Linked DNA regions of Tribolium castaneum. The protein of the gene in region 1 interacts with the protein of each later gene in a pairwise test. Links are inferred from orthologs where the notes say so. Each region holds a gene or a part of one and is shown on either strand. Other genes may lie near its edges. The genes, in order: gw and polyadenylate-binding protein 1.

Region 1 (16,637 bases):
TCTTTCGTGAGATTTTGCTTGGGTCCTTTGTTGTGGCCCCAGTCGATTTCGTTGTCGCCCCATAGATGGGTCCCGGCCATTTTCTGTTTGTTCCAACCGCCCACGGATTCGTCCCATCCCGGTCCGGTTTCGTCCCATGAACCATTTCGCCCATGACACCACACTGAACCGTCTGGTTTTATACGGGACTGAGCCATTCCAGGTGGACCAGCGGTGCTACCGCGTCCCATACTTGCCCCTGTGGGCAGATCTTTCCAGTGAGAGCCTATTGTAGGTGAAAAGTTGGATGAGTGCAAGTGTGATTATGATCAGTGTGTGTCTGCGGTGTTAATCTCGTGTGGAAATGTCAAAGAAAAATTAAACAAAATTAAAATCATGATTAGTCTAATTACCCCTCGACGATTCCGCTCTCTAGCACAAGAAATATTTACATTATGTCTTGCCCAAAAAACACGCAAACAATTCTATTTGAATTCAAACGTAAGCTCTAAAATCCCCAATTTTTTTCATTATTACGTGACTCAGTGTTGACGCGTTCTATTTATATTCAAACAACAACCATGTTTATTTCTTTAAGACATTACAATAGCCAAATTTAGAACCTGATGGACCTCGAGGAATTTTAAACCGCTTAAAATAAATTTGATGTCACACAAATCTCATATCAAATATTATGAAACAAAGTTATCTTCCTTTTGTTTCTCATTGCACAAGCAAAAGACAAATTTTCCTCAATTCTCAAACCTTACGTAAACATTTAAAACAAAAATGCATTTGCCACTTGTACCTTATCTAATTATATCAAGTGCATGACTCAATTTTTGCGTGTAATTTCGACAAGAATAACAAACCAATCAAAAATATAAAATAAATAAGTGCAATTCCGCTACGCTACCTTGCTGAGGGTTGCCCCAGAGCGAAGTACCGTCATCATAATTGGGCATATTACGTCTTTGTGTCGGCGGCGATGGTTCTTCCCATCCGGCCCCATTTCCAGGTCCCACCGGCATTTTATTCTGATGATGAATATGTTGTGTCCCTGTATGCGGTCCCGCTTGTCCCCAGAACGCATCAGCGGCTCCAGCACCATTCAGTCTTCCGGTGATTCCTCTCGGATCGCCTCTCATATCACTTCCAGCCAGTCTCATTTGTTCTCTCGGATCTAACAAACGCATCGGATCCGAACTTCCGGCTCGCATATCTCGCAAATCTGGACGCATATCGCGCGGATCAATGCCTCCAGTTGCACGTGGATCGGTGGCAGTGCGCGGATCGCCCCAGCCAGGGTTTCCAGCCGCTGCGCCCCATTCGGACTCTTTTTTCGGACCGCCCCACATACCGCCACTATTGGCAGTATTGCCCCATTGTTGCTGGCCTGAGGGGACACCGGTCCATACGTTTGAACTGTCGGCGTCGTCGTCTTCGCCCCAGGTACCGCCAATGTTGGTCGAGGGGGTGTGACCCCATGGGGTTTTCTGTTGGGGCTGTGGAGGCGGCTGACCGCCGTTACGCAAATTGGCTTCCCATAGTTCGGTGCCGTTGTTGATTGCTGGCTTCCAAGGAGGTGGAGCTGAACCGTCCATCTTCATCGAGGGTTCGGGACTGCCGGGGATGTCCCAGTTCGTGTCTTGATTCACATGTTGCTGTACGAAATGATTAGTTAAATTTATTTCGCAAAAAATTAAAAATACGTACGCCTCCCCAACCGTCTTGGCTGAAGATGGCTTCTCTCATGTTGTTGAGTTGTTCAAGTTGTTGTTTGGTTGAAGTGGTCGTGTTGGGTTGGGCGGTGGGATTGGGTGGTTTAGCTGAAGATGTCGAAGTTGTAGGTTGGGGTCCATTGTTGGTTGTTGGTGGTTTTGCACCTGGTTGACCCCAACTGGAATTGTTTGGTTGTGAGGCGGGTGTTTGTTGTTGTCCATTCGAATTCAGGTTAGAATTGGCCTTGTTGGCTATTTGAATAAAAAATTAATACTTTTTGTATCGGTTTTAATTGATCAAATTTTTACCATCTTGCGTAGGTCCCTGGCTTGAGGTCGGTGGTCGATTAGCGTTATTGTTCCATTGCTGAGTGCCTGTATTGTTTTGATTAGCGGGATTGGCTGTTCCCCAGCCGCTCGAAGTGTTAGCTATATTACGGAATGAATTCGTTTAAAATGAATAAAATGATTTAGGGGTTTGTTACCGTTATTATTACTGGCCTGTTGTGAGGGTGGGGTGCCCCAGCCAGAAGTGCCGGTGCTGAGCGAACTTTCGCCACCGCCTCTTAATCTCAGAGGCGGCGTATGATTATCGCTTGTGCGCTGAACGTGGGGCTCACGGCACATTTCGTCGTCGTCGCAGTGTTCGTCGTTGTTATCGCAGCTAGTGAGGTTCTTCAGTGCATTGAGGTCGAGTACTTCGAGGTCATCAGACTTTTGGTTGGGAATGTCTCGTCCGAGGGGTAAAGCACCAAACTTACATACTAACTTATCGCTATTATTGTGGGCGACCTTGCAGTGGTCTTTACGTTGTATTTTTGGTACGGTAACAGAGTTCAGAAGACAGTTTTCGGTCACAGATTGCATTCTAATATTAGAGTTGCCGTTTAAACGGCAACTTGAGCCGTTTATCACAGATGTGGCGCCTTTAGCGGCGATGGGTTGGCTCGGGGGGTCGGCTCGACCCCCCCAAGCTGCCCGAGCGACTTGTACTGGGGGTGCGCTGCCCCTCATGGCTGACACTTGAGGCACTTGGTAGGTAGGAAATGTAGACTTCGGCTCGGAGGGGGTGGGGGCGCGCATCGTCACTAGTGCTCCATATCAGTCTGGCCAGCCAGAGATCTGCAAAACACCAACACTTCAACTCTTCCACACATTTTGAAAAAATCACGAAAAATAGTTCCGTTTCTGGCCGACAACGCTTACTTTCAACTACGTTTCTAGCTGACAATGTTCGAAAAAAAGCCAAAAATATTGATATTTTTGCACTAATTTAGCCAGTTTTCGACTTGCAACTTGGGCGATTTCTGTGTTTTAATAAAATGTTGGGAGAAATATTGTTTAAAAGAAAAACCAAAAATACCCTTTTCCACCGAATTTGGTGATTCCACTGACAGAATTTTTGATTAAATTTTACCAAAAAATGTGTTAGAAAGAAGGAAAAAAATGTGTTCAAATATAATTAACTTTTTGCTCACTTTTTTGAATTTTTCGGCAAAAGTGCAGGGTCTTGAATTGTGTTTTATACATATTTCCACGATTTTTGCTGTGTACTCTTTCGTTTTTAGAATTATTTTGACAAAACTGTCATTTTGACGTCATTCACAATTTAAATCAAGCGTTCAAATTTCATAGGTGACTTGATGAACAGCCATTTCTGAACAGTACGTACTTTTAACTCCGACAACGCCATTCTTGACCAGTTTAGGCGAATTTTTGGCTGATTTTGGACGAAATTTTGCAATTAATAAAACAAAATCAAAAAATTAAATCCAGGGATCGGTAAAAACACCACCCTTATTTAGAATAAAGACCGCCATCTTATCTTATTCAAATAAACGTCAAACATACCAACCTCCGATAATAAAGTGAAAGAAAATCAAAAAATGAAATAGAAAACGCCACTACCCACTTTAGCGAGCGGTAGAGATGCACGAAATGCGACAACCACCTACATTTCAGTATCTCTGCGGTTTAATTTTAGAAATGAAAGATTATTTTGACGCATTGTGTAAGCAATGCACGAGTAGGCGTCGGATTACTCGAAAATTTCAATTACCAACATTGGGAGAACTAAATTAAAATGTCATTTTGATAAATTGTTGCTGGTCGTAAAAAATCGATAAGAATAGCCAAGTATCCACCAAATTGTAACACAAAGTGAGCGCAAAGTATAAAATACGTGACGTCATTCGAGCGAATTGTTTATCCAATCATTTCAGATAATTGCGGACGATTAAAAAAATGTTACAATAAATGCAAAAACTTACACACAAATATGGACGCCCGTGGAACAACTAGCCAAGTTGGTAGAGGGGAGCATGAGAACGCTTGAGAAACATCACCCAAGTCATATCGAATTATTATCCAATAAATACGCACTAAACTGTAACGCGTTCACAGTTGAAAAGTTGGTGATTTATCACACGAACAAATGAGAATACTAAATATCACAATTATTTCAATAATTTGGCGTTAAATACTTGTATTATACGGGCACCACAGATTTGTTTATTGATCCGCAATTACGTGGCAGGGCTACCTTCACTCGGCTCGAATCGTTCGCGATCGCGACGGTTCGGCTTTTGGAAAGCGTGCAGTACGGAAGGTGATTTCGATAACAATCGGGAGGCATCCAGCAGGGGGGTACATCAAGGGGCCACCACCACTATTGCAAAACCTGATCGTGTCTTCGCAGAATACAACGTAAATAAAAACAAACCTGGCGGCCAATGAACGGTGGCGACACCGTTACTATTATTATTAATGTTAAACGCGCTGAGAAAATGCACCCTTTTTGCGGGACTGATAACAGTGATAGCGCATCGGAGACGGAATCCGAGCTAACTGTTTATGGTCGACGGCGACGACGCCGTCGCCGCCGCCGCCGCCGACGCGCGCCCTGACCCAATTTACACAACTAGGGAAAAGGGATAAGGTCAGGTCGGACGAAGGGTACGCAAGGCCGAAACTGTTGTGACCTTAACTCGGGAACGGATTAAATGGGTCAGGACGACGTGGGGAGGAAGTCATCATCACGTACGGACGGAACTAGGCCCCGTTTACGTCAATTAAGGCGCAAAATGACACTTTTCTCCCTCTCAATAAAATAATTTTGGCCCCATCAGGATTAACTTAATTGTAACTCCATCATTCCTCATCGGAGGATTTCTATCAAACAACAAAAAATTCAAATTGTTTCAGTTTAATTTGTTTTTTCTCAAAATAAATTAATAGTGGTTTAAGGAAAAGCTGAGAGCTTTACTAATAGAGCCCTTCCAAGAGAAATGTACCTGACATTTTCAAAATAATTTTAGTAATATAATCTTTCAAAATACATGAATTTCTCGGGTGCTGATAATCAAAATGAATTAAAAGTTCCTATGATAAAAACATTGGTTAAGCCTTTTTTCACGAGATATAGCTCTTAAAAGTTAAATTTTCAAGTTAAGCTTTTGGTGCTCCAGATCATATTTTTCTAACTTTAGTTAGCGGAAACGACAGCACTTGGAACATTAAACGAATAACTGTTGAAAAAAATCAACAATTGATGTCCTATGATGTACAAAACAATTAAAAACTGACATCATAGGAAACAAAAGAGCAAAAATCCATACCCTTGCTAAGGAAAACAAAAAAAAATGTCAAAATTAAGTTGCTTCAAAAAATACGAAAAAATTCGCTTCGTCGAAAATTGTGTTACTTGACGTTTTTCAAGCCTTTAGTTTTTTTTTAAATTTGTTAAAACAAATTATGAATGGTTTATGCACTTTTTTTATGGATGTTGGCTTAAAAATTAATAAAGTAAGTTTGTTCCCGAAAATTTTCCTAAAAATTACAACTTTTTAAATAAGTTTTTAGCCTGTTTTTTTATAAGTTGAAAGAAGTCCTTAATTACTTTTTTGAACCAAAATCTAACTTTTTTACGATTTTTTTTTGTATTTATGAGCGTTCGAGCTACTAGTTTTCAACAATTATTTCGTAAAATTTTGAAAATTTATTAAATTACGCCAAAACTGCTCGATGAATTTGCATTTTTGGAGTGTTTAAGCACATTTCAGAGTTTCTGAGTTAGTTATTTTTTCTAAAAATTCTGCTAGAATCAGAAAATTAAACTGAAATTGATATTATTTTAGCAGTAGTTTCACTAGACTCATGAACCAGAAACTTATTAATCTTGCAAAATCTTGTCAAAAGACGCATAAATATCTCAAAAATAAATCAAAATTGATAGTATTTAGACCTTGTCACTGCACTGAGCTCGTTTTTAACTGAAAATCGGTTAAAAATAAAGCTAAACATGGAAAAATTGTTTTATTTTCACCATGATAACGAAAAAAATTTAAAGTTTTTTTGTGTCCCGTCCGTTATCAATTCATATTTTTTCCTGCTCTATTTAAAATTTCATAAATGTGGCTCTAATTCTAGGTTGCGAACAGTTTGACTGGTACTCGGTGTCTATAAAGAAAATATCACTTCTGATGAAAATAAAAAAAAAATAAAAACTTGTGTAGTGTCCCGTCCGTTAAAATGGAATGGCTTTATATTTTCAACCTATCGCATTATCTCTTAGAATAAATAAAATTAAATTAAATTAAACAAATCACGAGGGTGATGGCCCTATTAGCCCCCCTTGATACGCCAGAAATCACGCACTTCCTTGTTCCAACCAAGAAGAGCCTTCGATAACTGTTCTGGATGTGCTAATTGAGAGGTTAACAAACCGCATGGTTTTTTCCGCACCATGGTTTTATGAAATTAAACTTCTCGGGTGGATGACGACACTTTTTTATTACTTTATTATATTTTCCCAAGGTGTTTAACCCGTGCAAGATATTCATACCGATCGATAATAATTGGCAAAAACGCGATTTCGTTAATACGTTCAAAAATAGCTCATTTGAATATTTATAAAACCGGATTTTTTCAATATTGTAACAGCAGGTCAACAAATTGTTGTAATAACTTGACTATTTTAACATAATTGAATTTAAAAGATTTGAAACTCGTTAGGGCGTTGTTACACAAACAACCATAAATTATGCACTTTGTGTGTATTTAAAGTTTATTGCGTTTAATAACAGTAAATTTACAACTTAATGTAACACTTCACTTGCAGGAAACAGGGAAAAATTTCTAGGAACTTTCTTGCAATTTTTATTATTGTCGCTAATTCCAGGCAAGAAACAGGGACATAAATTATAAGCGGCGCTTATTCGCATAAACAGGCCTTTTTCTCGAGCACACGTCCTCCATTTGTGTTAATAACGATAAACATTTAAATAATGGCCAAGATAATGCAAGTAGAAGGTTTCAGGATTGTCCAACAAATAAATAGATAACGAGTACACAAATTGTGCAATTTTAAAAACAGTATTACTTATTAAAAAAATGTGTAATAAATAAAAGGACGAAAGACAAAAGAGCATGTCCAAGATTCCAGGACCGTATTGAACTTTTTTAACAGTGGATTTTGATGGAATCATGTGAGGAAACCTGGGAAAATCTCCGTGAATTGTTCCCATTTTCGCCATCTGTCATTGTCAGCCTCTTTCTGAATGAAACCGTGTAACCTTGAGGCTCAATCAGCGCCCGACTCTTGTTACAAAGCACGCAACTCAAATATCCCCTTTATTTACAAATAAATAATTCCCTCTCCGATTGTATTAATAGTACTAGGGCCAGTAAACGCTTAATCGCAAAATCGCGGGTGGCGGTCCTGGGGGCGCCTTTGGCCCCCGTCCAGCGACCTGTGACGGTAACAAGCGTTCCGACGCCAACGACACACAATCAAAAGTGTTTTCCATCCGTGAGCCTGGCAACAGTACAGCTTTATAAGTAAGTCCGGAGCTCGTACTCATGCTCAATCAAGGTCGCATATTTGCGAAGAACGGCGCTCCGCCCGCGAGCCAACCCAACTAGACACTAAAAAGATACATTCACTCGCTCCCATTGCATAAATCCCAATCTGGGGAATGTTGTGGCGGCGCGCCGTGCGCACCAAAACAACGCGGCCTCGCGCCCGGCAGCCCCCTTCTCGCCCGAACGTGTTTTGCATTTTCGGTAAGACGCCATTTGGCGGTGCACCACAAGCGGACAAGTGCCACCCGAACGGGAAAACTAGCAAACTGTGTACTCACCTATCCGTAAAAGTCTTTTAATTAAAAAATTCGCACAAATATCACTCGAAATCACACAGATTCAGCTTGAAATTCTCGTCAAACATCTAAATGACCGTCGAAGCATGACGCCATTTTTAAGTCTATTTCTGTTATTGGGCCGCGCGCATGCGTCGGCCCGGCGACCGCTTCCGGCCGTTCGAATTTTCGCGCCACTTGGAGGCAAACTCCCGGAAGTTGGCCCGTACTAGCCACGGTACTAGTACTATGTATTTTACGTGCCCCACTTTACCCGACTACGGTTTAATTGTGGATTTGGAAAATCACCGGTGGCACACGAGGTCGTTTGTACCCCAAATTAAACAAAAGGCGATCGGCGCGTTTGACCATAATTTAACAGTGTCATAATTTGATCACCCGAACAATAAAACCAGCAGTAAAAACCATTTAATTGCACAAACAAAAAATCTTTTTTGGTGGAATAAAACCGCGAGTTGCGACTTTCGCCTCTATGCGGTTGGCAATAGGGGCAGGCACTTGGCGCCATTTTCTACCGGTCGAGTGTGAAAACTTGTTCATTTTGAAATTAACTTACAATGATGGACTTTTTGAACTCTTTCAAGTCCTTAGTGAAGGTGGAACAGATCCGTACTGACAATAACGTGTTCCGTTTGCACTACAAATTAACCGTGATTATGCTGATCGTGTTTTCCATACTCTTGACCAGCAAGCAGTATTTTGGGGACCCCATCAATTGCAAAGTGGAGGAGAACCGGGACATCGTCGAGACGTACTGCTGGATACACGGGACGTACATCCGGCGGGACACCCTATCAGGTAATTGGCCAACAAGCCGGGACGTTTTTTTTAAATTTTGTGCAGGCAAAAGTGGGTTTATTCCGGGTTTGGGGCTCGACAACCGCGACATACGGCCCTGGATGCGGAGCCCTGATGATAAAATCATCTGGCAGAAGTACTACCAGTGGGTTTGTATCGTTTTCTGCTTCCAAGCGCTGCTCTTCTACCTGCCCCGTTACTTGTGGAAGACGTGGGAAGGGGGCCGTTTGAGGCTCCTGGTGAGCGACCTGAACACCCCCCTGGTGACGGCGTCGTGGAACCCCACCACCAAGTCCCAAATGATCCAGTACATAATCAACGGGAAATATTTCCACACGTTGTATGCCATCAGATACGTCGTCTGTGAGATACTCAACTTGGCCAATGTGGTAAGTTGCCCCCTTGTTTACGCTGGGCTTAAGCCATTTTTTGCCAGATTTTGCAAATTTTCCTCATGGACACGTTCCTGGGGGGGCAGTTCGCCCTCTACGGTTTTAAGGTCTTTGCCAACGGGGACATCAACGCAATGAACGAAGTGTTCCCGAAACTGACCAAGTGTCAGTACAGGTTTTACGGCCCTTCGGGCTCCGAGGTCAACCGGGACGCCCTCTGTATCCTCCCGCTGAACATTTTAAATGAAAAGTTGTTTATTGTGTTGTGGTTTTGGTTGTTTTTTCTTTCCGGTGTTACTTTTTTGTCGCTAATTTATCGTTTTGTGGTCGTTTGTGTGCCGAAACTGCGCGTTTATCTCCTAATGGCGCAAGCCAGGTTTATCGGGAGTAAACAAGCCACTTCGATTATACAAAAGTTCAGTTACGGCGATTTTTTCGTTTTGTATCATGTTGGCAAAAATGTTAACCCGATTGTTTTCCGGGAGCTAGTTTTAGGTATTTATGAAACGCTCAAGGACAAAAATCCCTACGTGTATCCCGGGGTTGAAGTCAATACTATTTAAAGTGTTCCTAGACAACTTATTACTTAAGTTACCAATTCCTAGTTAAGTTAAGCTCGTTCGTTTGATGTAACTTTAAATCACAAATTTTGGACTTGGGACCCAAATTCAAACATTCTCTGAACTTATCGTTACATCACAAGTGTTCATGTTGATTTTTATTTAAACAAAATATTGTATTTTGATAAAGTTTTTGTATTTTTGTTAATAAAATAGTTACAATTCACTTCTCCTGCCTTTTAATTCCCTGTAAGCTTCAATCACTTCCTTCTGTTGTTTATCAAGTTGTCTCCTAAGGGCGTTTGGCAAGTCTTTCCTTTTTCCCGTTTTATCAATCACTTTATTACTGGTTTTGTTTAGAACAGACTTCAACAACAAGTCTTTTTTGCCGGGCTAAAATTTTGTTTTTTAAATTACGTTTGTTATTTTCAAATTAAATTGGCAACACTGGTTTACTCAGAAGATAGAAATATGGTCTTGAGGACTTTTTAAAGAAAATTTAATTGTCTACAGTTTGCAGCGTTTTAAAAATACGAGACGAAGCGCAAATTTTAATAATTTTTTCCCATATTTCTCATCAAAATTTTAGAGGTCAGTTTGTGGAGAATGCAGAACTCAACATTTCTGCATTTTTTTCGGTATAACGCTCGAAGCGCCCTCATTTTCCCCACCCGTACTATTTTTTTGGGTACAGAAATCTGCGATTTATTCGTTTCCTAAGTTATAGTCCTCCGTAGACTTGTCAAAGCACGCTCAAAAATTAAAAAAATAACTCGAAATTGTTGGTATTTAGTTCGACTTTGAGTGAAATTTGGTTAAAGCACGTTTTTTCAGTTAAAAACTTAGTTTATTTCGCAAAATAAATAATAAAAATTCAACTTTTGGGGCTCGAATTTGGGTTGGCAACAGTTACGCGGCCACCCCTCCGGAATGAGTGACAATGTTGCCAACTTAATTTCAAATTCATTAAAATGTATGCGAAAGCGTGACTTACTCGTGGGGCTTCGCCCCCCGTTTTAACCTTCCGGGGCGCAGTCAATGTAGGTGGTTCATGCACTTGTTCCCCAAACTTAACCCTATCTTGAAACTTCTCAAACTCATCAACTTTATCATTAATTCTCTTCTGCTTCTTTTCGTTTAATTTTAATCTCCTTTTTTGCGACTTTGTTAATTTAGGCCCTTCTTCCTTCTTCTTCTTCTTGGCCTGTTTTGCTTCTTTAACCATCACTTGCACGGGGTCTTTAGCCCGTTTTTTAACCCCTTCTATCTCCCCCTCTGCATTCCTCTGAACCTCAACCCCAAATTTTTCCTCAAAAGCCGCCTCGTGTTTAACCATCGCACAGTGCTTGTGCACCCGATACAAAAACTGTTTATCTGACTCATTCGGACCTTGTTTAAAGAATGGCTTCGGACGCGGTTTTTTCACCTTTTTGCGCAAAAAATCGCCACTTTTAACCTTCGCCTTAAGCTCGGCGATCCTTTGCAGACTTTTAGGAACGTACTGTTCGTCTGGGTTACTCGGGGGCGCGTTTATTTTATCCTTAAGACTGAAACGTGCCAAAGTAAGGTTATGCCAGACCGAACAACGTTGTACCTTTTCTCGCGCTCCGCACGTTGTTTCTCGGGGTCTCGGACCCCCCTATGCTTCCGGCCTGGAATTTTGCGCCCCATTTTAACACCCTTTAGCCCCAAAATAAATAGCAAAACTTGAGGTTATATTTACACCAAACAGTGGTGCCAATCGTGCCAAATGTCAAACAAACCGGAATAAAACGTGCCAGAAAATGGGAATTTTGGAAAAAATCTCGGAAATCGAGAAGGAAATCTCTCGCACGCAAAAAAATAAAGGTACAGGAGACACTTCGCCCCCTTTTGTGTTGTTTTATTGGCCTATTTCAGCCACCGAGTACCACTTAGGGCTCCTCAAAGCCAAACTTGCAAAATACCGTTCCCAGCTCTTGGAGCCTTCGAAAAAATCGGAAAAAGGTGAAGGTTTCGACGTTTTAAAAAGTGGGGATGCGCGTGTGGCCTTGATCGGCTTCCCGTCAGTCGGAAAAGTGAGTTTTGGGAACCCCCTGACCTGTCGTTTCATGTTTTTTCTAGTCCACTTTGTTGTCAACTTTAACGAAGACGGAAAGCGAGGCAGCGTCGTACGAATTCACGACCTTGACGTGCATCCCGGGCGTGATCGACTACAATGGGGCCAATATCCAGCTGCTCGATTTGCCCGGGATTATCGAGGGGGCTGCCCAGGGCAAGGGCAGGGGGCGGCAGGTGATAGCGGTGGCACGCACGGCCGACTTGGTCCTCATGATGCTGGACGCCACGAAAAAGGACGTCCACCGACACTTATTAGAAAAGGAATTGGAAAGTGTGGGGATTAGGCTGAACAAAATGAAGCCCAACATTTATTTCAAGGCAAGTCTGGCGCCCGTCTCGCTGTGTAATTTAATTCTTGACACTAACAGGTGAAAAAAGGGGGCGGTATTTCGTTCAATTCCACTTGTCCCTTGACGAAAATCGACGAAAAGCTCGTGCAAATGATTCTGCACGAGTACAAAATCTTCAACGCTGAGGTTCTCTTCAGGGAAGACTGCACTGCCGATGAGTTAATCGACGTGATTTGTGCGAACCGCGTCTATCTTCCATGCCTTTACGTTTATAATAAAATCGATCAGATTTCGATCGAGGAAGTCGATAGAATAGCCAGACAGCCGAACAGTGTTGTCGTCAGTTGCAACATGAAGCTCAACCTAGATTACCTCCTTCAAGTCCTCTGGGAGTATTTAAATTTAATTCGCGTTTATACGAAAAAACCGGGACAGCCGCCGGATTTCAGCGACGGCTTGATTCTGAGAAAGGGGGTTACAGTGGAGCATGTGTGTCACGCAATCCACAGAACGCTCGCCCAGCAATTCAAGTATGCCTTAGTCTGGGGCACGAGCACCAAATACTCGCCCCAAAGGGTCGGCACTTCCCACGTCATGCACGACGAGGACGTCATCCAAATAGTTAAGAAGTAATTAGATTCGTTGTTACTGCATATTATTAAATGATTTTCTTACACTTCTGGCCGTTATTTCCGAACATTTTTTAAGTGGCGAAATTTTATATATTTAATTAAAAAAAACACCCTTTCCTACCGTATTTGGTGATTCTATTGACTGGATTTTTTACTTCGTTAACCGAACTCCACTGTAATATTGCAAAGGTGGCAAATAAATGGGCCATGCATTTTTCGAGCTATATTTACTTTTAAAGTACATGTTATAGATACTGAACAACCTATTCAGCCGGCCGACTTGGCCTTGCGCCTCACATATAAAAATTAAAGCAATTCTAAAGTTCAGTCAACCTTCAAATAAATAAAACCGACTATACATTGAAAGAGTACACTCTTGAAACCGTAATTAGCATAAGATATGTTACATAAACTTCGTTATTAGTTAGGAAACACTCATTTCTTTAATCTAAAATACACATTTGAATTCTCGTTTTGTTTTCTAAGTGCTTCTACTCAAACTGTGGAATGTTGACACGAAAATCGATTTATTGAATTGAAAGAAGTGCACACTTCGTTATAATAACTATGACTACACCAATAATCGTTTATTTACTATTATTACCCTCCTCTTCCTCCTTCTTCTCTCCCTCTCGGCCCTCGTTGCTTGCCTCAGCGGCGGCCTCTTGGGGCTGCTGTGCCTCCGTTTCCACCCTGTAAGTCCCCGGACTATGCACTTCATTGACCAAAACGGTGGGATATGGGGGCGGCTGATCCTCCATAATGTCCTGATAGGAGGGCGGCGGCGTCATTTTCAAAGCGCCGCCAAAGGCCGCCTCCTGCTCGCGCAATAAAGTGGAATAGTCCGGTTCTGGTAACCGATCGGAACCTTCAGTTGGAAGGATGTAATGGATGGTATTGTTGCGCGACTGTTGTCGCAAAGTTAGGTATTTGTAGCAACGCCACACTATGCCAATGCAATAGGCTTTCCATAGCATGGAAATGAGGAAAGCGGCGAGGACCAGGAGGGAGAGGTACTGAGGACTGAGTTTGAGGAGTTCGTTACGGAAAGGGAGGTTGTGCCAGTGTTCGGCGACCAGGCGATGGACTGAACGCAAATAACAGAAGTAGCCGGTGGCTGTCAATCTGCAAGGGTTTAGGGCTCCAATAAATCAACTTATCGCAAAACTGCAGATTACGTGCTAATTATAAAATGTTACGGCACGATGTTTTCGGACAAGGCTTTGAAATGGAAATCTGTAGCGTTCTGATTAATGATTTTTCGTTTTTTTTGTGATTGAAAAACGTGCTAAACACTCAGGAAAAATACATTATTTTGAAAGTAAATACACGCACTTAGTCCTACTTATTTTCCCCAAACTAATAAACGTACATTTTTTACCCAATTTAGTGTTTTTTTTTGTCGAGCAATCTATTAAAAGATTGTTTACTAATCCAAAAACGTGCTTAGACGTTCGGAAAAGCCAAACAATGTCACCTCGACCCAATTCAAACAGTTTTAGTGAAATCACTCAAAAAGTTGAGTTTTTAGAACAGGAACGAGCTCAGTAAGAAAAATAACACAATTTCCGACCGAATTCGGCGATTTTTCGGCTTATTTCTTAATGAAATTTCGTGAAATAATGATATTTTTGGCTGAAAATCCTGTAAAACGCTCGAAAAGAAGAAATAATACCGTATTTTTTTAAATAATTTAATTTTTTTTTGTCCGATTTGGCACAATCTGGTAAAAATCAGTTTTCAACTCAAGAAAGTCACTTAAAATAATTGGAAAAGAACCAAAGATGCGTCATTTTAGACTTACTTTGATGATTTTCCGACACATTTTATAAGAAACTTCCGCCAAATAATTGGATATCTGACTAAAAACGTACTAAATTACGCTATTTTCGACGTGACTTAGTATTTTTTCGGTCAGGTTTTGACAAAATTTCGCGGAATTGTCTGAGTTTGAAATCGGAAATGTTTTAATTTAGTTATTTTTTTGGCTCATTTTCTGATAAAACAACGTCGGAAAGAACAAAAATTAAGTCTTTTTCGGAAATAATAGCCCGGTTTTACCAAAAAATAACAGAAATACCACGATTTCCAAGTAAATTCAACCACTTTTCGGCTTATTTTTGACGAAATTTCGTGAAATAATGACATGTTTTGTCGAAAAACCTAGAAAATACCCCAAAAAGAAAAATAATAACGTAATTTCTCACTAATTCAATGGTTTTTTTAGCCCACTTTGGGACAATCTGTAAAAATCTGAATTTTCGACCCAAAAACGTGCTTAAATATTCGAAAAAATATCAAAGTTAAGTCACTTTAGATTTGGTTTGACGATTTTCTAACTCATTTTCATCAAACTTTCTCAAAATAGTTACATTTCTAATTAAAAACTTACTAAATTATACCATTTTCGACCTGACTGTGTAATTTTTCGGCCAGGTTTCGCGGAAATAAGAGAGTTTAAAGCCAAAATAAATTGATATCATCGTATAAGACAAATATTTACAATATTTTCATCATAATTTAATGATTTTGCAGCTCATATTCTGCTGAAATTTAGTGAAATAATTGCGTTTCTGATTGAAAGACATACAAAAACTTTCAGAAAAAGGAAAAGTTAAGACGTTTAGCGAATTAGCGAAATTACTTACGTAATTTTCTGAGCTCAAAGAGAAGCAAAAATGTTATCATATTCACCTAAATATTGTAATTTTTGAGAAACTTTGTTCCATTTGTCATACTTGACAAAAACATCCCTTATCCAAAAACATACCGGTTAATTATACTCACGTGGTGATTGCAAAGTCGAATAATTGTAAACAGAAGAAGGGTAATAAATGGGTGGCTTTGCCTCTAATTGTACCATACACCATCAGCAAGGTGATAGAAAGGGTACAGACGGTCATTAAAGCGCCCATATCAATGTCCGCTGAAAAATCATTGTTATTATAGCACATGTAAACAAACAGATAATGCAATGACTCTGAAAATCACAAAAAATGTTATGATTTTTTAACACTTACATGAATAAATAGTGCGCCCATCCTGCGTCGTGGGCAAATAATAGGGATTATCCTCATCCTTGACTTTTTTGCTCAAAGGAGTTGGCAAAAAATTGCTCTGTTCAAATTCTGCATTATGTTGCATAATCACATTATGGTTGCGCATCAGCAATGCCAATACAGCCAGTGCCAATATGTGCAATATCTACAACAAACAAATTGGTATTTTGGTTGTTTTAAACTATCTTTGGACTTACTAAATGCCAGATTCCGAGCAAAATAGTCGCAGTGCGGACATGCAAACAAAAACAACACCTCCATTCGTTATTCCGGGCTGAGCCCAATTTGAACCGTTTGGGGAACATTGTTGAATTCTGCAAGGGTATGTACATTGTTACGAGAGTTGTGTAAATAGAGCAAAATTGCAGCTGGTTGCGACTAGTGACTCACTTATCAAGAATTACTGATAAGCTTGAGGCTGATATAATTGGATGCCTCACGTAAATCGGGGGAAGATAATTACCTTGTGATAACCAATCAAACGAAATTTATCACCAAATAACAATAAAAATTCGTTTAAGAATTTTAATCACCCATTTATCTAAACACCTTCACAATAAATGTCACACTTTAAATGTCATTCGTTGCCAACATTGACTAAAACTCCCCAGAAAAAAACACTTGGCTTTGATGAAACATTTTATTTCTTAAGATAAAACAATAAATTACTTAATTAACAGTCAATTAAGGAACAGAGATAACCCCCAGCCCCACGCCCCCCTCATGCGCCACCATGGGGGCCGCATACGTCCACTGATCCGTCTTCGGGTCATAAACCTCCACAGAAACCAAATTCGAGATCCCGTCATAGCCCCCAACAGCCCACAATTTGCCCATATTTGCCGTCAAGGCTACGCGACTCCTTTGCGCGTTCATGGGGGCCACATACGTCCACCTAAATAAAACCGCTTTAATAACAACAACCCCCAACCCAATACCTACTTATTA
Region 2 (16,361 bases), on another chromosome or scaffold:
AAGAATGACTGGTGGTTATGGAGGCCTGGCTTACCTTTATTAGCCAGCTTGTCAGACCGGGAGCAAGTACTAGCCGACGTCGACTGGAATGATACAGACATGCCGCTATCTAACGAGCCCACACTACCTCGGCGCTGTGCCTTTTCTCCTGCAACTACACTGACAATATTACTAATAACGTCAATAATTCGACAAAACAACCTACACTGTTCGTGGATATCCAGCAACGAGTTACTGAGCGCCGAACGTTTGATTTGAGTGTCATGACCGACTTCTTCGGCACACTCCGACCCTCCTAGTGCCTGGTTCTGGGAGCAGGGGCACTGGTAAGAACACACTTCCACGTCAGCGACGCCACTGTCCCGGTTTTCGGTACCTGTGTTAAAAAAATAGTAAGGATAGGTGCGGGAGAAGCGCCTTGCGAGGCATACCTGTCCTGGTCCCCCGGTTCGACTTCTGCCGCTCTAGCTCAGCCTCAATCCTCAAATTCTCCATTTCATCCATCTCGCTTACAGCCTCCTTCAAATCCTCCGCGAATTTGCACCTATCATGCTCATTTCGCGCGTTAAATGTGACCAATACTTTGCCATCGACACGTTGGCTCAAACGTATACCATAAGGGTAATCTAGAGATGAAATGAATGAAGCTAAACACCAAACGAAAACTGAATAACTTACGGGCAGCTTCGAAGAGAGTGACAGTCATCCCGCACAGAGGGAAACTATTCCTGAATGTATACGTAACTGAAGACTTCTTCTTACTTAGAATTTTCGTAATAACGAGCAAATCGTTAAAAAGGAACACTTCTCTCTGGTGTACACCAGGTCTTTCTTTCTTATAAATATCAGGGATTTCGTATAAACGACAATAACACACTAGTCGGCGATGTGGTAACGCCATATTTGGTTTTTTACCAACGATCGTTGCTTGGACTTTCATTACTTGAGTCACGTGGTCTGAACCGGGCTTAAATTCGTTCGCTTTGACACGCTCGTAAACCCCAGTCAACATATCACTGTCAATATCACCACAATCGTCGATACCTCGTAAATTTTTTATGAAGTCTTCGAGCTTCATCCGACGTTCGGGTTTTATATTCGGGGTGTGGAGGTCAGTGTTCAGCATTATTATCGCAAAGGCGAGCACAAAAATCTGTAAATAACAACGATTAGTTAACACGTTGTAATTACTTTCTTTGTCAAGTTTAATCAATAGGGATATTTCCCATGAACAACTTTCATATTCATTGAAAGAACAGTCTTCCTACTTGATTGAAAAAGTGATTATATAAAATTACCGAGCAAAAATTACATGGCACTTACCGTATCAGGCGATCTTAACCGGGCGACGATATCGACATTGCACTGGCAATATCTATGCGAGAACACCTCCATAAGTCTTTCAATCTTTTGTGCTTCTCCAGGCATTCGGAAATGCTGCTGGAACTTCCGAAGGGCAACATCGACTTGCATTCCCGACAAATCTAACTCATTAGCGAAGCATTCCAAAACAGCCATACAAAACGGATTTTGTAAATTCCCTAAATACTCTCCGATCATTTGTTTACTCAGTCCTTTTCTCGAGATGAGAAATCTGGCGACGCCTTGCGGCGAGTTCTCCAAGAACCCTCTTCGGATTAGATAGGAGATGCCTCGTTCTGGTTTTTTATTAAATAAGTTAAGTCCTACTCTGTATTGTCGTTTTCTTATAGTCTCGGTTATTTTATAGCTGGCGGGTGCTTGTTGTTCATTGGCTCGTTCTAGTGTGTAGGTGGATGTGCTAGTGTTGGAAATGTTCCCTAAACTGGTCTCTAAGGCCGGTTCGGCGTATTCCGAAATGTGATTTCCTTTGCGCTTCCAGACTGGCGATCCGGAAAATTCACATTGCACGCGTTCAGTCGATATACTACTGTCACTACCGGAACTTTGGACACTTGACAACGAGCCGTTTTCGTTTGTTTTGGTCAAGCCGTTGCTTTTGTGGTGTCGGGGGTCTCCGACCGAACGAGAGGTAATACTTGAGGTTCGTTTAGGTACTTCTGGTGGTACTTTTCTACTGTTCAGACTGTGGCGGCTGCGAGCGTAGCCGTTTGTGGAAGTTGTAGGAGTACTACAAGAACTGGGACTTGCAGTCACTTGGGTACCTAGCGAATCCGATTTGGAGTCAGCGGGTGAATAGTAGTGTTGGAGGGAGGATGAGGAATAATTCTCCCAACACACTGTAGGAGTCCCCGACTGACTCCTAGGTATTGGCATATTGTCAATATTACGTCTCTCGCGCAAAGACATCGATCTAACTGGAAGAACTCTCATATTCGAGCAGTCGTGTCCTTCATAATTCCTCATATATTCGGGACACTGCTCAGTCTCACCTATTGTGCTACGACAGTCTTCGGAATTTGCAGGAATTCGGCGACTAATACGTTTCTCGGCTTTGGCCATTGCTGTAATTGCTGCGAATTTTTTAAGTAGTGTGTATCGTCTGAACGCCCGTTGAATCGTGAGAGCTGCATTTCGCGCTTTAACACCGCCATATTTCCGTTCCAACACTTCGATTTGTTTGTCGAGAATGTCTTGCGACAGCTCGTATCTAAATTTACCCGAATCAGTTTTCTCTTACATGACACTGGAGCGTACTTACGTTGTCTGAACCCTCGACCTTTTCAAGACATCTCCGTTCCGTAAAGAACCCTTCTTATGAAGAGGCTGCGATACATTCACGTACGTCGAGTTGTTAGGGGAGGCACGGGAATAGATAGGACTGGGGGTTGGAGTACTGTAGTTTTGAGCTTGGACAAAACTGGGAGCCTGGATGTAAGTCTGTTCTTGAAACTGGTCGGATGAACCCATCGAATTCACTATCTGGGACCTTTCCATTTTCGGTGGAAAGCTGAAATTAAAACAATACAAAAATAACAACAAAAACCTAAATTACTGTTCACAACCTTGAAAAACTGAATTGTGAACTTTCTGTTATTGACCTGTTGCCACGCAAAGCAACAAAAACCATTTTAATGTCACAACTATTAAAAACCCAGTAAACCAGATAGAATGAAATGTCATTAAAATAAAACAAGAGAAATTTTACATTTCTTTACCCAGCACCACAGTGTTGAGGCAACTACTCCAACGATACATAAAAACACAATTAAGCATTTAACTAAATGAACAGACGACTATCACATTACAAAACGCCCCTTTGCGCAAATCCTAATTCACAGAAAAACTTTACGGAAATAAAAAATACAAAAATGATTACGTTTCAAGTCGTAATTAACTGAAGCCGGGAGTGGTTCAAGGGCTAATTACAAATTTATAAGTTTTAATAGGACACGCAGGATGATTCTATCCTTATGAATAAAACAGACTTCAAGAAATTCACTCAACTTTGCTAAAACAGTAAATACAGATTTTTTTAAATGAAAGTCCGTATTTGCTTTGATTTCCCAACTTGTCGGAAATCCTTGAACCGTAAAGTTTCTATTTTAAAATTCTTATGAGGCATGTACCGGGGTAGGTCAATTTAAATATTTTAATTAAATCTGATGATTTGTCTGTATTATCTACAGGATGAGTGTAATTGCTCATTTATGCATAATTTAACGTAAAAAATTTCACCTTATCAATAAAAAAATTAATTAGTGCAAAAGCAAATAAAAATCCTTACTTTCCCACCAAAAAGCCCGATATGCAAATAATCATCTCGCAAACACATGCACCAAAACAAAATAAACAGAATTGAACTGCAGCAGTTTCTCGAGTGCTGTACACCCTAAGAAGGCAGCTGGCGAACTGAAATCAAGATGGTAAATGGTTCCTAAATCACAGGTAGTCAGATGAACCATAAAGGAAAAAATAAGGTCGAAGAAGAGCAGCTGGCGCATTTGGTAAATCGGGCATCATGTGTTTCATCATCAGAGAAACTATTAAATTTTAAGCAATGGACGTGACATAACTTATAAAACCTGAATTCATTTTGACCAATTGGTAGAAATTCATTGACATTATTAGATTAGTCATAAGTTTAATCGTGCCGAGGCTTCAAATTAGAAATAATGCGACAATACCATGGGAAATAAGTCGGCCGTCAAAATTCAACAATAGCACGTATCTTTTTTCGACATACAACCATACTAGCCTTGATTGCAGATATCCAGGAAACGACATTTACCAAAATTATACATTCATTTTTTATCATCCGAGATAATCACACAGGAAAAAGATACAGAAATGTCGATGCTTAGTCTACAGGGTAAAGGATGTTGAATTTCCTTCGTTACTTGGTTTAGGTTTGGATCGTTTCAAGAAGGTACATATATCTTAAAACCGACACGATGCACGTGTCCGGCTATCACGTGATGCAACCCCCAGGGGAGGCGAGGTGCAAGGGAGGGGCCGGCAGGTGGCGGCCCTAACGCATGTGTGGCGTGTGGTGACCGAACGAAAAGCAGATGTTTTTCGAATACTTTCGTCCCCCTTTCCTTCCCTTCGAGAAATCGAAAAGACTTCACTTTTTAAATGTAAAAGGAATTAAATATATTGTACGGTTTGCGCGACCTCGATTATTTGCGGCAATTTCCGCCCGCCTAATTCACTAATTTGTTTCAAAATTAGCCGCATACGGATGAAAAACATTCAAATGGCGTCAATTGTCTTGTTTTTTCTAATTCGAGCCGAAACGAAATTAATTATTCTGGGGATTCGGTGACATTGCTTGAAATCATAGAAAGTTTCGATAAATTGCTGCCATTGCATAAGCGACAAACTGGTCACGACGTTACCGAACAAGTGCAAAAAATTACGTTTACTAATTCGATAACAAATATTGCCATATTACGCTAATTGCTCCCACTTTGGACTTGACGGATGTGACGCAAATCTCGCCAAAAACCACATGGAAAATTTTTAAATCGGCAAAGATCAGATTTTATGACGATGGTCCGGGTCGAATTGACATTTAGAAACGGAAGTACGGCACACGATCGCCGCATACAACAACAAACGATAAAGCATTTTATGTGTAAATAAATTCAAATTAGGAAAAAGTACGTTTATTTTACATTCTAAAATTGCGTATAATTAAACGATAAAGGAGAAAGTTGTTCGAATATTCAACATTTGTGTGCTATGATAAATGGCGATTTTCTAAAAAAAGAAAAAACACATCTGTCAGGTAGGTGACATAATACGTTTAAATGTTACAACTTTTGAATTTTGATGAGGCACTTTACTAGATTGTGCCGAAATTAGAGCGCGTCATGTATTCTAGTGATTAATTAAGCGTTAAAAATTACTATTACAGTTAATTCAATTAATTTACAGATCTCGATACATTAATCTGATTTAATTAACGAATTAACGCGTACAGCTACTTTTTTACTTCACTCAACCTTGATTTCATTAGAGAAAAGTGTGTTCAACTACTGCCCAGTGCAGTGGCAGTAGCATGCAAGCAATTATTATAATAAGGTACCAACATTCCAGTTATCAAAGTAGGGTAGAGACAATTAGCGGGACTTAATGTAGGTATAACGATACCCTCATTTCAAACACCGTTGCCACATTTGAGCGACGTTGTCACACACCTGTGACGTAACGTGACGTCATTTTATACATCAAAAATTGCTAAAAAACGATGCTTTCACTCGCAAAAACGGAAACTAACGTGACATAAAATGCAGCTTACAGTTAAACCAATGTAGGTTTAATGGCGCATTAGCAGCCTAGGTACAAAACAAAAATAAACTAATACGGTAGGCGCATGTTAATTACCCCAACGGTAAATGCACAAGGAGGTCCGTGCCCTGATCACCCACCTATAAACAATGATTCATTCCAAATGACAAAAACGTGGCTTATCAATAATTTCTAATTGTGTCGGTAATGAGTGAGTAAGGGTACGGAGATCTATTGTGGCTGTTAAAGTACAATTGAAACAATTTAGCAATCAGCGTCATTAATCATTTAAAAGCGACTTTTTCCAAATTATCCTGACAATGGAAAAAACGCGAATCTTGTTCAGGTCTGTTGGATAAAGCAACATAGTTACCCAAATACGTACTTGTGAAAAATTGAGCTCTTTAAACATATACTTAGGTATGACATTGAGAAATGTGAAATGTTATTTTCCGGGACTTTACCTGATGACAGTGACATGTTTCCGGAAAGGCGGTAAAGTGTGACATGCGTCGGTAACAGTGACCAGTCTACTGACATGTTGTCTTCTGGTGGTGCAAACCACCCTGATCCGTTCTTGTTGTATTCCGGAGCGTCTAACTCTGACAACAGTTCTATCGCACACATCAACCGTATGCACAGGGTTCGACCTGACATGTTCGGTTCTAACTTGACTCTGCACGAAGGGTTGGGGAAACCCCCCTGGCGACTGTCCACGCATTACAAGCACTCACAATTCACGTACCATGATTGCACTTGCGACCGGATTGAACGGCGATAGTAAAAGTAATCGTACTTTCTACTTTTGTGTCGATCACTGGTGGTGGCCGGAAGCACTAGGGTTGTTAAATCGCGGGTTTTGTACACAGTTTGCGGATTACAAATGTCAGCTGACCGTGCCTCAGCACAGACAACCGAATGGAACGATCGGCACAGTTAGAAGAAGGCGAGCGGGGCTACAGCCTGACGTCACTTAGTCACAGTCCTTGGTGTTACATCACCACAAATAAACACCGAGGCAGATCAAACCCTGGTGCAACCTAAACCTGGCGCCCCGACGACATGTGCGACTCTACTACACGACCACAAGCCTCAAGGCTGATGCACGAGCAATTACCGCAAACGTGTGGGTGCTTGCCAATACCAAGAAACGCCAGCTAAAGAATCGCCTCAAAAACGACAGCGCGTTATAGACTAGCCTGAGGATATCCGTTCACTTTCCCTTATTTAGAAATCAATACGCCGTTCGACTGTGGCATATATGACACTTTGTGGGGACCCCGAGCGCGATTTCCGCCAAAGAGTGCATCCTCGAGGTTAATGACACCAGGACAGCCCCCAAATCCGACCGCCGCCTCCCTAATCCCATTATCCACAAAAACAAAACCTCCAAACAGGACTACCAACAAAACGCCAATTACCTTAATTTAATAAAAACCATCGACTTATTATCTTCTTGACCAGTGTGAACGGTCGGCGTCGCGACGTCGCCACGCATGCGCACAGAACCAAGTCAGTGGGAGGCGTCGTTTATGACATTTTACAACATCCTTGTCCCAGAAATGTACAACAAAAAACAAACAAACGCAAACTTTGCAAACAAAACACGACTGCCACTTTAAATCATTTGACGTTTCATCAATGAAACTGCGACCGATTTATGACAAGGGTCGCATCTCACCCTTGGAGGGATTTCCCCATTTTTTAATTATCGCAATAAATAAACGGGTGTTTGATGCCGTTTTCTCACCTTTCATCTTGCAACCGTTTCAGTTCCACCATTTCCAGCTCGAACCTCAGATTGCTGTTTTCACACAGCAAAAGATCCCGCTCGCTTGCAACTCCATCCAGTTCCCTCTTTAGCCGAATTATCTGGTCCCGTTGTTCCCGTATGATGGCATCTTTTTGGGCCAATAACGAATTTATATCGACTTCTATTCCTGCCATTGCAGGTCTCCTACTGTTCACACACACACGATCCTCAGTTGTTACGGTACCGTCCAAATTTTTAATCTGACGGGCATTTTCCTCCAGCAACGATTTGGTTTTTCCTTTTTTCACACAAGTTTTTCAAAAAAATTATCACATCTTATTCTGAAACGATATTGACAGACGAAATACAACGCGCCGCACTGTTCCTTGGTTTTTCTCACTATTATTCATCTGTCTCTCTTACGTCAGGAGCGAGAGCACAGAACAAAACGGGATGAACAAACCTACACACGTTGCCCCATCTGGAAATCCCCTCCAGTAACACTTCCAGGATGGTAACTTAGCGACTTGTCTTACCGGCCTACCACGAATTTCCGCACAAATTGCCGATAAAACGTGATTTCTCACACGAAAATGGGTGACTAACTTTGTTCACCTGCCTAATCAGCACAATAGTGCTTTGTAGATAAAAAAATCAGATAAAATGTTAATAACAATTACCATACATGGCCACGTGAGTAGTTGCGATGTTGCCACATTGCCATGTCCACAAGAAAATAAAGCACTCTTTGTTATTTTTGTTTGTTTTTAATGAAACAAGAGGTCCTCATGTTTCCAGTTTTAAATATTCTTAATCTACATCAAAAATCAAGACAACAGAAAATTTATTTATATTTATTCATTTTTAAACAATTTCTGTAATATATACAATTAATCTTGAATTTTAACTAACTCCGAAAAACTATTTTGTATGGATTTAACACAAAATAAACTTAGCCGATTACAAAATGAAGGCAAAAATTATATAAAATGTAATAACATTCATCTTGTTAGTCTCATCAGTGTTTTCTTAATCTTTGTTATAAAATATGGTATATAAAATCTATTTCTTCTCAAATATTTGTTATCTGACTCTAAAAAATTGCGTAAAAGAAAAAAGCACCTGTTTGAGCAAGTAAATTTACTCTCACTGAATTTTTGTTTAAACTAATAATAATATAAATCGTTATCATATACTTGTGGCAGCAGATAAGACCGTTACATATCGAAAAAAAATATTTACACACCGATTTATCAGTGAGAGTTGGTACTTAATTTTTTTAATGTGTTCGTTAAATATGAATATTAAAGCAAACTACTCTTAAGACTGTTCGTAATGCCATTAGTTGCTACCACACCATAGATGAATCACTCACTACTTCTTATCTTAATGATTACGAAAATATGTGAAAAATGAAGCTTTTTGGACAGGTCTCATCCTAATTACTTATTAAGTGCTACTATTAATATTATAAAAGACATCCGAATGAGTTAAAAAAATTGTTTTAGAGAGTTAGATTTCTTGAAAAAAAGAATTTTGAATTTTATAATCGAAAACATAAATTAAATAAATTTCACGATTTAAATGCTAAGAATTTAAAGCACGTAACGATTTCCGTTTGAACGTCCACAATTCGTTCTTTCAAATATGCCGCCACAAGTTTGACATTAGAAATTAGATTTCCGTTAGAAATTGTGTTCATATCAGCCTAAATTTGTAACAATTTGACTATAAAAAGTGTTCTGTGGTCACGAAAATTTAAGTCGTATTTTTATTAAACTTTTAAAAGTTTTATAGGAGACGGTACGTGTAAGAATTTTTAAAAATAGTCATCTTTGTCAACGGTCAAATTTTATGGTTTGGCAAATTTAGCTCGATTAAATTGAGATAGACGTCGGATTCTTTCTGAAACGATGTATGAAATCAAAAATGTGCTTTTTTTGCTAAATTGGTCGCAGGGTCCGTTAAAATTGATGTATTATTCAATATTTCATCACATGGCAACACTGGAATCAGTCATATCCGGCTTGTATAAGTAGTGAAAATGCTGTAACGACTCCATTTTGTTACTGTTGTTAGTGGTGTAAGCGTGTGGTTGTGTATCTTCTTAGAACACACAACCCACCTAAAAAAAAGCTAAATAATATTTACAAAAATCCAAAAAAATTATAAAAACTCATTAAAAACCCCAAAAAAATCGAAAAACAGTGGAAAAAACGAAAATAAACGGTTAATGTATATTTTTCGTTTCTTATGTTAACGCGTAGCATATCTGTGTAGTGTGCAAGAACGAAGATGAATCCGGGTGCTCCAAACTACCCCATGGCGTCTCTGTACGTCGGGGATCTCCACACCGATATCACGGAAGCAATGCTTTTTGAAAAGTTTTCCACTGCTGGACCAGTCCTTTCGATTCGCGTGTGCAGAGATTTGATAACGAGGCGTTCTCTCGGTTACGCTTATGTGAATTTCCAGCAGCCCGCTGATGGTAAGTGCGAACCCAGTGCCCATTTATTTGTTCCATATGGTACCCGACTGCCATTTAATATTTAATCCGTTTTGATTGTTAACCTTCCCCCACCACGCTCGCAACATTGAAATTTCTTAGAAATTGGTAAATGTTAATGTTGCAGCCGAACGCGCTTTGGACACCATGAATTTTGATTTAATCAAGGGCCGCCCAATTCGCATTATGTGGTCCCAACGCGACCCATCCCTTCGTAAGTCGGGAGTAGGAAATGTTTTCATTAAGAATCTAGATCGTTCCATTGACAACAAGGCTATGTACGATACGTTCTCAGCCTTTGGAAACATTCTCAGTTGTAAAGTAGCTCAAGACGAAAACGGCACCAGCAAAGGCTACGGCTTCGTCCATTTCGAAACAGAAGAAGCGGCTAACAAGTCGATCGAAAAAGTAAACGGCATGTTGCTCAACGGAAAGAAAGTCTACGTTGGCCGTTTCATTCCACGTAAAGAACGTGAAAAGGAGCTTGGCGAGAAAGCTAAGCTCTTCACCAACGTTTACGTCAAGAATTTCGGCGAAGACTTGACTGAGGAGCAACTGCGCACCATGTTTGAGAAGTACGGCAAAATCACCAGTTACAAGATCATGAGCAAGGACGACGGCAAGTCGAAAGGATTCGGATTTGTCGCCTTTGAAAGCCCTGAAGCCGCTGAGACAGCCGTTGAAGCTTTGAATGGTATGTTGCTTGTTGAGAGTGGCCGATTTTGTTTCTAATGTCTTTGTTTAGGTAAGGAAATCATCGATGGAAAGCCTTTGTACGTTGGACGCGCCCAGAAGAAGGCCGAGCGTCAGCAAGAATTGAAACGTCGCTTCGAAGCCTTGAAGATGGAGCGTTTGAACCGCTACCAAGGCGTGAACCTCTACGTGAAAAACCTGGACGACACAATTGACGATGAACGTTTACGTAAAGAATTCTCTCCGTTTGGAACCATAACATCGGCGAAAGTAATGATGGAGGACAATAGGAGCAAAGGCTTTGGCTTCGTTTGTTTCTCGTCGCCGGAAGAGGCCACAAAAGCCGTGACCGAGATGAACGGCCGGATCGTAGGTTCAAAGCCTTTATACGTGGCCTTAGCGCAGCGCAAGGAGGACCGTAAAGCCCACTTGACATCACAATACATGCAGCGTATGGCGAACATACGCATGCACCAAATGGGTCAGTTTATCCAGCCTGGAACGTCAAGTGGGTATTTCGTTCCAACGATCCCAGCCCCGCAGAGGTTCTATGGGGCGGCCCAGATGGCCCAGATCCGCACGAACCCGCGATGGCCGGCTCAGACCCCCGTGAGGCCCGGAGCCCAGGGCAGCGCTAACCCGTACGGTACCATTCCGACCACGTACCGAGCCGCGCCAAGGCCCCCGAACCAGTCCGCCGCTTTGAGGAGCAATATCAATGTGCCAAGACCAATAACCGGCCAGCAGCCACCGAATATACAAGGACGACCATTAGCTAGCCAAGCCGTTGTAGCACCTGCAGGTAATCGCCCAACTACTTACAAGTATACAGCAAATATGCGTAATCCTCCACAAGGTTTAGGCATCAGCAATGCTGCTCCGGTCCAGCAAGCTGTCCACATTCAAGGCCAGGAGCCTTTGACAGCCACCATGTTGGCAGCTGCCCCGCCACAAGAGCAAAAGCAAATGCTGGGTGAGAGGCTCTTCCCACTTATTCAACGCATGTATCCAGATTTGGCCGGAAAAATCACCGGTATGTTGCTCGAAATTGACAATTCGGAACTTTTGCATATGTTGGAACACAATGAATCCCTCAAAGCCAAGGTGGAGGAAGCCGTTGCTGTCTTGCAGGCCCATCAAGCCAAACAGGCTGCTATTAAAAAAGAGTAAACGGTCGCTTACTCAGACAAATAAATATAATAAAATGAAAAAAATTGCAAACATGTCTTACGACAAAAAAACTTATATAAAAATCGAAACATCATCATAAATGAAACTATTATTATGCGTTCGTGATTTTTGCTTGTTTGCAATTTTCACTATCTTAGTTAAATAGTTATTTCTTTGGTTTTTAGTTACTTTTCGCATTTTCCAATATCCTATTAATTGATGTATCTGCAACTTACTGAATTTGTAATATAAAATTGTACATTTCATATTTATTTTTCGTTCAAATTAATTTCTCAATCTTATGTTACTCTCTTGGTTTTTGGAATTTTAAAATAATAAATCTTAATAAAAACACATTCTTTTATTTACCACTTCACTACAATAAGATCTAAAAATAATATCTAAAGCACCAGAAATAAAATTCAAGGTAAGTATTGAAAGTACCAAAATAATTCAACATTTTAAAACACTAAAAAAAAGATCTAAGCTTACTTTTTCAAATGCCCAAATACGATTTTAAAAAATGATTGCGATTTGTCCAAGGAACAAGGGTGCTGTATTTTTTTTAATGACTTAAACTAGGATATAAGATGAAGGAATACTGAAAATTGTTTTAAAAAACTTGATTAATCGAAAAAGCAATAAAAAAACAGTACCGTAAAATTTTCTCACAAAAGTACATAACTTTTATCAAGCAAACTTCAAATTTTATAGTTATATTCACATTACCTTACCTGACTGCCTTAAATACAGAGGTGGGCAAAAGTATGGAACGAGTTTTTTCAAAAATAAATTTTCGAAATTCTTTTTAGTAAGTATTAGTACTTTTAGTATTTTAGAGCATAATCTTTTATCAAAAAAATTATCGTAATAGGGTGCCATTTGAAGAAAAAAAATTTTGAATACTTTAAAACTATTATCTGGGATATAATGGTGTAATGAAAAACGAATAGTATATGAGAAATTTTTATTAACCGAAAATACAATATCAAAACGAAGTAATGAAAACATTGGTCATTTGAACAGTTTTTTGTGCTGTTGACTAATGAGCAATATCAACAAATTAACACTTTATCAACAAAAACACGTTAGGCATTCTGCACCGCTTTTTTGGCGGCATCGTCGAGATTTTCAGCTGTTTGGATATTCATGCCTGAATCCTTGATAATTCTCCGGGCCTCCGCCGCATTCGTGCCTTCCAGTCTGACAATCAAAGGCACTTCAAGCTTCATCGCCTTCATTGCACCCACGATTCCATTGGCAATCGTCGCGCAATTCACGATCCCGCCGAAAACGTTGACCAAAATACATTTAACGTTCTTATCAGACGTGAGAATATTGAACGCGGCTTTGACCTGCTCCTCGCGGACGCTGCCCCCGACGTCGAGGAAGTTGGCGGGGTCGCCCCCATGCAGCTTGATGATGTCCATGGTGGCCATGGCCAAACCGGCGCCGTTGACCAAACAGCCGATGTTTCCTGTCATCCCGATGTAGTTCAGGTTGTATTTCGCCGCTTCGACCTCGCGGGGGTCGCTCTCGGTGACGTCCTCCAACGCGAAGATGTCCTTTTGGCGGAACTGCGCGTTGTCGTCGAAATTGATTTTCGCATCCACTGCGATCACTTTATTGTTGTCCGTTTCGACCAAAGGGTTGATTTCGAGCTGAGTGGCATCGACGGCGAGGAAGAACTGCCACAGTTTTTTCAGCTCGGCTGCGGCCAAACCCTTGAGGGGCCCCTTGAACTCCAGGAACTCGGCCACCTCATTGGCCATACTATCGGTCACCCCCTTGTGAATATCAATGGGGATGTTTTTGATCAAATGGGGCGTCTTCTCAGCCACGGCTTCGATGTCCACGCCGCCTGCGGGGGACGCAATTAAGACAGGCCCGTTCTTCTGCCTGTCCATTAAAATGCAAACGTAGGTCTCCCTCTGAATGTTCACACTTTCGGCAATCATGATTTTTTTCACCTCGATGCCGTCCTTGGGCGTCTGCTTCGTGATAAGCCTGTGGCCGAGCATTTTTTTGACGATATCGTCGACTTCATTGCGTCTGAAACAAACGCTCAATTTTGACAAAACCACAAAAAAAATTTTACTTCTCAGTGACATGAACCCCGCCTTTAAAACCATTGGTAAAGTGGCCTTTGCCGCGACCACCCGCCAGAATTTGTGCCTTTATTACGTATTCTTTCACATCTGCAAAAAATTAAACAGTGACATAACCCCAACTTTTATTAACACTTTTACTAAATTTATCGAACTCGGAGCATCCCTTATCATCAACCATGCAAAAGTCTTGCACAGCCACCCCATTTTTGCGCAAAAGGTGCTTGCTTTGGTACTCCAACAGGTTCAAATAACGCACCGGAACCTGAAAATGATTGAGGTTATGTCATGTTTTTTGCGAATTTGTAAAAAAGTTACGGAGAATTGTTTTATCTGAGTCGGGACTTTTAAAAGAGAGTTCCAGAGGGAAGACATTGTTTGGTTTTCGCAATAAAGGCACTGCACACTTATCACTGGTATTTATCTAATTGGGGAACAGCACGAATGCACAAAGTCCAAATGTCTGAATGTTTTATCTGAAATAATTGTCCATAAAAAAAGACGGAGCGAGAAATTGCTCAGTGACGCAACTTTCGGCCAATTTGTGGGATAATTAAGCAAAACACACTCCTTAAGTTATTTTATATTGATCTAGGTTAGGTTTTTCCCATAACTCTAGGAAAAAAGCATTGATTTTGATTTTTGGTAAAGGGAAGGTAATAAAAACGATTTTTCGATTTTCTTACGCAAAAAACTGTATTTTTTATACACATATTTATACTTTTTCCACCTGTGCTAATTAGGTTTCTAGGTTAAGAATGCGGGATTTTATTTTAAAACAAACTAAACGGGACAGATAAATATCTATTAGTTTTTATTTTTAGTACACATTTAATATTTTTAATAACTATTTACAAAAATAGGCGTTTTGATTTAAATAAGGGGCTGTGCTCGCCATTGGTGGAATCTATATGTCATTGTACATAAATGGCCAATAACAAACTAGATAAGTATGTACAGTGAAGGTCACAAGATAATTATTTTTGGACACTATTTTTACAAAGGTGATGACAAAAACAATAAAATTGTTGTAACGACACATCTACAGTCGAAATATATTTATAAATGCGTTTGTTAAGCACCGATATGTACATATTTTCCCGTCTACCTGATTCCGCTGACATTTATAAATAGAATTAAAAAAACTTAATAGTCCTGTCTTGTCGCCCAAAAACGTATCACAAGTGATGAGACATCTAAATATATTTAGTTAATTGAAAACTGGTTTGCAACTTATTTTTAATATCCCATATGAAGATGATTTTCCCGCTCCCTCGATCGCTTTTTCAATAAAACAATGCAAATTAGGAGCAAAGCGAGCAGGGCGATCACAAGAGCCACCAAAGTGTACATTGCATGCCGGAAACCTGCAGCCGGGTCTAGAACTTACCAAATAAAATGCAACTTTGTGAATTAGTTATTACCTGGACTATTTTGTAGCTCCCGCGGGATGTTATTCGATAAATTATTCTTAATATTGGCCATTTTTGGCACGAGCTGGTTCCAGAACAAAACCCTCTGGACGCGTTTTTTATTTTCTTCATTTATGTGGGAATTAACCGGCCCAAAATTTTCGATATAATAGTCCCCCGAGGTGTATTTTCGCCACGATCTGACCTGATTGTTTAGTGTCGGCTCCCTGAAATTTTTTCCTAGACTTTGGACTATTCATGTTGGGGGAAATACCCAAACATTATAAAGTTGGTCCATAACTGTTTGATTTGTCGACTCAAATTCATTTCGTTGGCGTTGAACCGCCGCCTGGCCACTTGCTTCAGCAAAATCGGTCCAAATACCAAGAGAAGGTCTGTGGTAATGGTCGAATCGGTTGTATTGAGAACAAACCCAACATCATCCATAAAATAAACATAAATTGGTTGCACGTATGACGAAATCAGGTGCGAAAGTTGCAAAAAATGTGGCGCTTCCACTTTGGCCTGAAACTCAAAATCTTTCAACTCGTCGTAGAGGAGTCTAACGTCCCCTTGGTTCGACGAGAAGTACTGCCACCTGATAAGGTCATAAATGTGGTCTTTGTTGGACGCCCCGAGTTTATACAAACGCGCAATTTCGGGGATTTTCACCTTTTCGACGTATTGTTGTAACTGGGTGAAGCCCTGACTTGCGAGTTCCAACCACTGCACTAAAAATAAGGGTCAAGGAGGGACGATTGTCAAAAAAACGTTACTAAATTGCTCGTCGGTGATAGGTTTCGAAATTCCGGTCAGAACGGGAACTTGCCAATCTGTGCCTTCTTTGAGCGCATTTGTGGGGTTCAAAGGGAGGTACCGGTTATTTTCCGGTAGGAAGGTGTCCACAACGGGCAAAAATCTATCGTTCCAGTTAAAAGACTGCAAAAACCGATGAGTGTCTCGAGTATGGCTGTCCGAACGCACCTCTGAATACTCAGCCAGAGCTTGTAAAATATGTTCCACTTTCTTTGATCGGAGACATT

What was found.
Region 2: the proteins of gw (region 1) and polyadenylate-binding protein 1 interact in binary tests that used the Drosophila melanogaster proteins (3 or more experiments, as listed by UniProt). The link is inferred for Tribolium castaneum from reciprocal best matches to the Drosophila melanogaster genes gw and pAbp.

Annotation. Positions count from the first base shown.
Region 1 is NC_087399.1:1,987,532-2,004,168, forward strand, and holds the start of gw (protein Gawky), read right to left. Parts: upstream 7,995-16,637; 5' UTR 7,841-7,994; intron 4,516-7,840; exon of another isoform or gene 3,923-4,515; intron 3,872-3,922; exon of another isoform or gene 3,735-3,871; intron 3,663-3,734; exon of another isoform or gene 3,556-3,662; intron 2,823-3,555; 5' UTR 2,784-2,822; coding exon 2,186-2,783; intron 2,130-2,185; coding exon 2,010-2,129; intron 1,953-2,009; coding exon 1,696-1,952; intron 1,644-1,695; coding exon 896-1,643; intron 266-895; coding exon 1-265. Other genes in the region: innexin inx2, read left to right, coding at 8,416-8,656, 8,702-9,045, 9,093-9,611; coiled-coil domain-containing protein 137, read right to left, coding at 9,825-10,001, 10,603-11,155, 11,203-11,279; developmentally-regulated GTP-binding protein 2, read left to right, coding at 11,393-11,456, 11,508-11,665, 11,712-12,026, 12,077-12,631; lysosomal-associated transmembrane protein 4B, read right to left, coding at 13,218-13,755, 15,418-15,556, 15,651-15,834, 15,887-15,994; KLHL18 (kelch-like protein 18), read right to left, coding at 16,374-16,584, 16,632-16,637. UniProt on the Drosophila melanogaster protein: Required for gene silencing mediated by micro-RNAs (miRNAs). Silences both polyadenylated and deadenylated mRNAs. Required for miRNA-mediated translational repression and mRNA decay. Not required for miRNA target recognition.
Region 2 is NC_087403.1:5,255,205-5,271,565, reverse strand, and holds polyadenylate-binding protein 1, read left to right. Parts: upstream 1-9,477; 5' UTR 9,478-9,724; coding exon 9,725-9,917; intron 9,918-10,062; coding exon 10,063-10,629; intron 10,630-10,680; coding exon 10,681-11,798; 3' UTR 11,799-12,150; downstream 12,151-16,361. Other genes in the region: siz (IQ motif and SEC7 domain-containing protein 1), read right to left, coding at 1-154, 206-376, 432-626, 679-1,153, 1,324-2,590, 2,642-2,890, 6,141-6,397; ScsbetaG (succinate--CoA ligase [GDP-forming] subunit beta, mitochondrial), read right to left, coding at 12,887-13,850, 13,897-13,996, 14,048-14,171, 14,225-14,281; pyrethroid hydrolase Ces2a, read right to left, coding at 15,146-15,285, 15,331-15,545, 15,593-16,049, 16,095-16,257, 16,303-16,361.